Cricetulus griseus: one gene and its partner. The protein of the gene in region 1 interacts with the protein of each later gene in a pairwise test. Links are inferred from orthologs where the notes say so. Each region holds a gene or a part of one and is shown on either strand. Other genes may lie near its edges.

The links.
Region 2: the proteins of Ube2n (region 1) and Rnf103 interact in a two-hybrid assay, tested with the Homo sapiens proteins (3 studies listed by BioGRID and IntAct). The link is inferred for Cricetulus griseus from reciprocal best matches to the Homo sapiens genes UBE2N and RNF103.

What each region holds. Positions count from the first base shown.
Region 1 is NW_023276806.1:161,500,827-161,504,573, forward strand, and holds the start of Ube2n (ubiquitin-conjugating enzyme E2 N), read left to right. Parts: upstream 1-1,381; 5' UTR 1,382-1,539; coding exon 1,540-1,569; intron 1,570-3,747. UniProt on the Homo sapiens protein: The UBE2V1-UBE2N and UBE2V2-UBE2N heterodimers catalyze the synthesis of non-canonical 'Lys-63'-linked polyubiquitin chains. This type of polyubiquitination does not lead to protein degradation by the proteasome.
Region 2 is NC_048601.1:63,196,651-63,200,397, reverse strand, and holds the start of Rnf103 (E3 ubiquitin-protein ligase RNF103), read right to left. Parts: upstream 2,310-3,747; 5' UTR 1,515-2,309; coding exon 1,289-1,514; intron 1-1,288. UniProt on the Homo sapiens protein: Acts as an E2-dependent E3 ubiquitin-protein ligase, probably involved in the ER-associated protein degradation pathway.

The DNA of each region.
Region 1 (3,747 bases):
CCTGTGGGGGACTTAATTGATGTATGGACACCCATCTTAATTGTGGTTGTCACCTGGGCTGTATAAACAGAGAGGTAAGCACTAGCATGAAAAATTCGATGTGACCAGCTGTCCTTAACTATGGTGATTATCCCCTTTGAACTGAAATTAACCCCTTTTCCTTTAAGTTGCCTTGTGGAGTATTGTGGTGATATTTTATGATCTAATAAAGCTTGCTTGAAGATCAGAGTGCAAAGCTAGCCACAGCCATTCAGGCCAGACAGTTGGTGGCACACACCTTTAATCCCAGAAGACAGAGGCAGATGGATCTGCGTTCACCACCACCCTAGGAAAACCTGTAGGGAGGTGGAGAGAGAGGAATCATAAGGCAGAAGGAGACAGGAAAGCTTGGATTTAGAGGTTGGTGGAGAGCAATGCAGTCTGAGGACAAGGATCTCCCCTTCCTTCTGAGCTTTGGTAGAGGTGAGAACTCTCTAGTGGCTGGCCACTTTGTTTTTCTGATCTTCAGCCTTAACCTCAATATCTGTCTCTGAGTTTTTATTATCAATATCAACTATTATTCGTGCTACAGGATATTTTATCACAGCAACAGGAAAAGAAATGAAAACACCCAACAATCCCTTTTGGGACCCCTCCACTTTTAGGGCCTTCACTCTGAAGGTACTCCTACTCCTTTAGGGATTACTCCCCTACTTGTTGCAAATCCTTTTGGGGTGGGGGACAGGTCGGAGAGCCCCCCTCCCTTTTTTTGTTGATTGTTTGCTTATCAAGACAGGGCTTCTCTGTGTAACTTTGGAGCCTGTCCTGCAACTTGCTTTTTAGACCAGGCTGACCTCGAACTCAGAGATCCTCCCGCCTCCGCCTCCTAAGTGCTGGGATTAAAGGCGTGCGCCACACCGCCAGGCGAGGCCCCCCCCCTTTTTTTTTTATGTGAAATTAAAACATTTAGAATTATTTGTCAGGGCCTTGACAACCAGTTTCCCAGTTAGAAGCTTTGCCATCGAGTGCTTCTCGTTTGGAACAAGCCCCCCGATCACCAGGTCGACGGAGATGCGGCGCAGCGTCAGCCCGCCGCGCAATGCGGGAACATTGAATGAACAAATGGAACGAATGAATGAATGAGCTACGCCGGGGGCCGGGCCTTTGTTACGTCGCCCACCGGCGCAGGCGTGGTCGGTCGCACGTACGCTACTCGTGGACGCCGGACACCCAGTCTCGCGCAGATTCTGCCGCGGGCGAAGCAGCTCGGCGCTGCCTGGCGCCGCCTCCCCCAAGTCCCTGCCCCGCCGCGGAGCGTCACTTCCGCCACCCCCGGCTGGGGTTGGGGCGGGGAGTGCGGGGGAGGGGGCCATCAGGTCGGACGGAAGGCCGCCCGAAGCCCGCGTCCAAGCAGGGACTACATTTCCCGAGGGGCCTCGGCGGAGGCAGCGGCGGCGGGCGCGGCGACGTCCCCCGGAAGTGGAGTCCGGGACTTCCACTCGTGCGTGAGGCGAGCGGAGCCGGAGACAAGAGCAGAGGCCGAACTCGGGATCTGACAAGATGGCCGGGCTGCCCCGCAGGATCATTAAGGTAACCGCCCAGGCGGGCTTCGGGCCTCCCGCTCGGCTCTCCTCCACCAACGCGCCGGGCCGCGCGGCCATACGCTTCACTCGGCAGCCGCTGAGGGGCCCGAGGCATCGCGGAGAAGGGTCTGGCCTCGGCGGCGGGGAAGTCGGGCGCTGAGGAGGGGGCGCCGAGGAGACTTCCGGCCGCCGCTGAAAGCCGGACGCCGGGGGCTCTCGGGCTGCGAGGCCGCGCGCGGCACGGGAGGCCAGGCCGGTGCCGGTGCCGGGTGGAGGGCGGGGCTGCGGGCTTGGCGTCTGGCGCGGGACCGGCGCGGGCCTCGCCAGGCTTTCTTCACCCGCGGGCGGGAATCGCGGCGTGGCCTGGACTCCGGGCGTGGGTTGTGGCCTGGGCTGGCCGCTTCGCCCCGGAGCCCCCTTCTCCTGGTCGGCGGTCTCGGGTGCAGAATGAATGAACCGGCCCCGAGAACCGGGCGGGGCCGCGGGCCGCGAGTCCAGCCGCCGACCGCACATGTTCGTCCTGGCTGCCCGCGGTCGGCGGCGCCGGGGGCTTGGCGCCCGGGTGGGTGTCCTGCCCGCCGTGTTCGCTTCCCCGCGTTGCTGCCGGTTATCTCCGCGAAGTGATTTTACTCCGGTTGGCAAACTCTTTTTTCTTTTCTTTCTTTATTTTTTTGGCCAACTGTTTTCTGTTCCGAGGCACTGGTTCAGCCCAAAGCATCTCGGTTATGGGGATGATCTGTAATAGTTCGCCTCTGTTTTCGTGCGCCTTCCGTATACTAAGCGGTCTCGAGGCTCTTTAGGAATACTGTGTTTTGGTGAGTACGTATGGAACCATGAAAAAACTCGTATCTTGATTTTCTGAAGTCTTTACATAACAGCGTTGAGACTTCAGACACGATAGGCATCTGTTTTTATGAAGGATATTTAGTTAAAAAAAAAAAAACCCTACACTGCTCACCATGCCAGTGATATGCCCATATTGAAGCTTCGTTTTGCTTGCTGTAATCTAGTGAGCTTGAATTTACAGCACTGTTCACTCTTCTGAAGTTTTGGGCGAGATTTGTACTAATTATATCGAGGGCCCCTTTGAAGGATGTGATGCACTGTCTAGTCCCTCGGGCAGTCACAAATGGGTGTGAGGTTGGGTGTATGACAGAAAGGTGCTTAAATTAGAAAACAAGACCATTTATAAGACATTCTTAGGAAGAAAGAATAAATTGTCAACGAGCACTGTAGTCTTGACATAAACTTTTACTGCTATATTATGAATCTCAGATTCTTTCAAAGTAGATTTTAATTGTTAGGTCGTGCGTTGGAAAGTCCTGACTCGTTTAATTCTGATACAGAGACATGAACACTAGTGATCATGTTAATCAGGATTCCATTTGAAAAATGATTGCTTCCCACCAGACCACCGGGTTTTTATTGTTTGGTTAGGGACTAAACATACCACAGATTGATAATGAATATAATTCTCTAAAATTCACACTGAACCTAACAGTTGGTGTAGTTTTTTTTTTTTTTTTTGATTTTTGCTTGATTGTGAAGATTAATATTCTGCAGTAATACAAAAGTCTTGATTGGGAAAATAAATTCTGTGGAATATTGGCTATAAATTTACAGAAATGGTTTAAAGTAGGATGTTGAGGAGCTTGTTTAATTCATTTGGTACACAATGCTTAAGCATATATTCAGTGTTGCCATTTTGCTATTTTAAAACAAGGTAGTGGTAAACTCGTGCTGAGACATACAATCTTTACAGTATTTTATTGCACCCACCTCTAATTTATGTAATATTAATTGACTTCAGTACTTATAGCTTTAAAGGATTTTTTTTTTTTCCCCCATCAATAGGGCAGGTTAAGAGATTAGAATAATTTTTTTGTTTGTTTTCGAAGCAGGGTTTCTCTGTGTAGCTTTGGAGGTTGTACTGGAACTCACTCTGTAGACCAGGCTGGCCTGGAACTCCCAGAGATCCTCCTGCCTCTTCCTCCCCAGTGCTGGGATTAAAGGTGTGTGCCACTGACACCCCCTAGAATAATTTTTAGATCCATTTTTATATTATGTAGGTTCTATAATCAGTTAAAAATATGCTTTTTCTACTGTTAGGGATTGAATTGAAACTAGCTAGGACTTTGTATGTGCTCTGCAAATGCTTTACCACCAAGCAACACCTCAAGCAGAA
Region 2 (3,747 bases), on another chromosome or scaffold:
GGAAAAAAAAAACAAAAAACAAACAAACAAAAAGAACAATTACAGGCTCAAAAGGCAGCAAAATGCCTAACATAAAGCTCAAAGTGGGTGGGGGGAGTGTGGTCAAATAACTGTATGAGATAGTAACTTTTACTTTCACCAACCCACTTCCCTCCCTCAACAACCAATAGCACCATAAACCAGGCAGCAAACAAGGGCAATAATAATACACAAGTTGAAAAAGGTAGTCCTTATGCAAAGGATTCCTGCCCTCTACCCCATTGGTGAGATGAGTTCTATAACTCTTATGCTATCAATCCACAAGTGTTGAACTGCTATAGCTTGTATTCTTGCCTATCACACTACAGTGTCTAGATAGTACTACATATGGAAAAAAATTATGTTGTAAAAGGCCCAACTGACAGATGTACTTGAAATAACAAAAAGACAATCAGCAGTTTTAAATGCTTCCTACAGCAATTCAGAATGCCTTTTTTCAACTTACATTCTCTGTCAGGAGACATTTTTCTTTGTACAGCAGTGAAACAAATTAACTGTATTTCCCTACCCAATCCTAAACCCCAAATTAACGCCTACTGGAAATATATTATTTAAGGCATTAAATATTCTTTCAGCAATATATTATTTAAGGCTTTAAATATTCTTTCAGCCCTATTTTAATTGTCTTCCTCAACCCATTAAGTGACGCAGAGATGCCTGTGACACATGACCAGAAAGGTATACATTCAAAATTCAAAAATAAAAATTGTAATCCTGCAAGAAAATATGAACTCCAAGTAAGGCCGACAGTCACAAAAAATGTTCACTGCATTTAAAGTAAAAGGAGAAAATCTGCACCTTGTACACCATACCCAAACACATAATTTACATGTAAATCTTAGATCCACGTGCCTCTTTGTTATTATTTTAATGATGCTTTACCCTCCCGGTAGCTTGTTTTTACTATGGAGACAGATGCTGCTATTTACAGCTACATTTTGAAGTTTTTCCTTTCCCTACATTTTACTCAATTTCAACAGACGTTCCTGAATTCTGAGATAAATCATTCAATTTAACAATTTTTTTTAAAGCTACATTTTCAAACTGTCATTTCCAAAGAACCTTAGAAACACACCAATACACCTAACAGCCCCCTTTACAAAACCCGGATTTACAGATTCGTAGAAACGTGGTCAAAGAAGACCTGGGCAGCTCTCCGGAGCAGTCTGCTTGACCATTCCGGGGACCGCCTCATTTCAGTAGAAAGAGCCAGGTCAGCGAGGGCGACCCCGGGGATCCCGGCACTTGCCTGACTTCTCCACCAGCTCTCGAACATCTTTCTTCTCGGGCAATCCGGAGTAGCCCAACCCTCGACACTCCAGAATGGTCTTCAGCTTCTTGAAGCTCAATGCCACGGGATCCACCAGCTGGGTAGCAAAGATGCCAGTCTCATACCACACAATGGCCTCGAAAAACCTGGCCAGGACGAACAGGACCAGGAAATAGAGGAGCAAGAAAAACAGCTTCAGCCACATCTTCGCCCTCTTGGCGTCGCCGGGAGCCGGGACGCCGTGGACTGGGGAGGGGGACGAGTGCAGGACGACGCAGCGCAGCCTGGACGAGGGCAGCTCGGGCGCGCGGAGGTGGCGGTCACCGGCGGGCCATCCCCGCGGGGAGGCAGGTGGATCGCGGCGTGCGTGCGGCGGAGGGGGACCGGCAGGGCACGGGCGCTGTCCCTGCGGTCAACAGCAGAGAAAGGGAGAAGGGGGGACGCTCAAAAGCACCCCACCCATCGAGCAGCGGACGGCTGGGAGCGGACAGGGGCCAACCGGGGGTGACGGCGGCGGCGGGGCCCGAGCCCGCGGCGGCTCCGACAGACTGCGGGCGGGCGCAGAGCGGTTGAGGCCGGGCTGCGTGGTCGCGGTCGGGAAGGCCCGGCGCTCCGCTGGGCCAGGCCCGGGCCCGGCGCGCCCTGAGCGGGGAGGAGCGGCCGCCGCAGTGCCGCGCCGAGCGCCCAGGCTTCAGGGCCCGGCGGCCGCCCAGGCCCGGCAGGGGCTCCAGGTTCCCAGGCGGCGCCTCTGAGGCCGCGGCCCGCGAGGGGGCGTCGCGGCGGCTCCTGCAGAGGACGATCTAGAGCGCGAGGCGACTGTCGTGAAGGGAGAAAAAAAAAAAGCAAATAACGCTAGGCCCGGACGCGGCTCTCCCGGGCGGCTTCCTGTGTCAGCTGCGTCGCTGCGCGGCGCCCAGCCCCGTGCGGATGTGCCGCGCCAACCGCGGCCGCCGTCCGGCCGCCTCCACAGGCCGCAGCCGCCGCCCCCGGAGCACTGGACCCGCTGCAGCCCCGGCCCTAGTCAAGACATAACAACTGACGTCGGCATCGGGGCGGGGCCTCGGGAGGGGCGGGGCCAGAAGCTGCAGGGTGCGGGGGCGGGGGGGAAGAGAGAGGGGCTGCCACCCGCGCTGGGCTGGCGGACGCCTGCTGGGTTAGTGTGCTTCTGGCGTTCCCACCCCTCTTATCCGCAGATGTTTATTCGTTGGTTTCAGTCCCCGGATTGGACATTGGACCCTGCGGCATTGTGCAAGTTTGTGCTGTGTGTGAAAGAAAAAAAAAAAAAAGACAGCTAAGGATCTTCGTTTTTGTTTGTGGTTTATTGTTTTGAGAGAGTCTCATTTTGAAGACCTGGCTGGCCTGGAACCACTTTGTAGACCAAGCTGACCTCAGAACTCGCAGAGATCGCCTGCTCCGTGGCTGGAGTGCTGGGACTGAAGACCTGCTCCACCACGCCCACCCCAAATTGTCAGGATCTGTAAAAATCGGAGCCCGTGTTTTAAGTCGGGTCCCCGAGAACTGGGGACTTTGGGGGAGGGGTGGGGCACAGCTGGCTTGAGGTGCTTGAGGTGAAACTCCAAAAACAGTTCCTTGTCTACCTTTGCGATAGAATGTGTTTTTCACACATGTGTATTGGAGGAGGTTTAGCCAAAAAGAATGTTAGTATAAGACCAAGTTGTGACTAGCTGTTACAATGTCCTCCTCAGGTTGTTAAAAAGTAGACATGGAGACGCTGAGTTGTTAGGTGCCAATAGGTCCAGGTGCAAAGGTCTGTGTGTTTTAGTCAGCCAGAGGAGCTTATATAAAACGAGTTTGGCAGACAAGCACAAGGTACCTGGTTCCGTGTTTATTTAACTCTAGTAGAGCCATATTCTTTGTTTAAATTTCTGTGGCAGTCTTGAGGGAGAGCATAGTTGGATTCATGAACTGAACAAGGCTTCCATGAACCCCTTGATCAGGAAAACAAGCTGGAATTTTAGGGGAAATGTTAGCCAACATGCAAAAACACAAACAACCCTAAACTAGGGGTGGAAATTTTAGGGAGAGATTATAACTCTCAATCCAAGAGCAAATGAGCCATGGAAAGCAAAGAATGGACCATGCACACCTTTAAAATGTACTTAACAAAGACATTTTGGTGTCCAGCTAGCGGAGGAATTAGGAGGAACAGGCCAGGGAGCAGAGGGTGTAGAATGTCCAGCTTCACTCTCCTGTCTTAGCTAGCTTCAAGGTGGTTTTGTTTCCAGATCCGCAGACCATGTAGGCGATTGTATTCAACAGTTCACTTTAACAGGCTTGAGCCTGGAATTTCTGCATCCTTGATTTCATGGTAGCACTGTTACATGGTGGCATTGCTATTCAAATCTTAAACACAGAAATGATATCCCTTGCCCCCTCAAAGGAATGCATTTTAGTAATAATAGATTGACATATAGTCA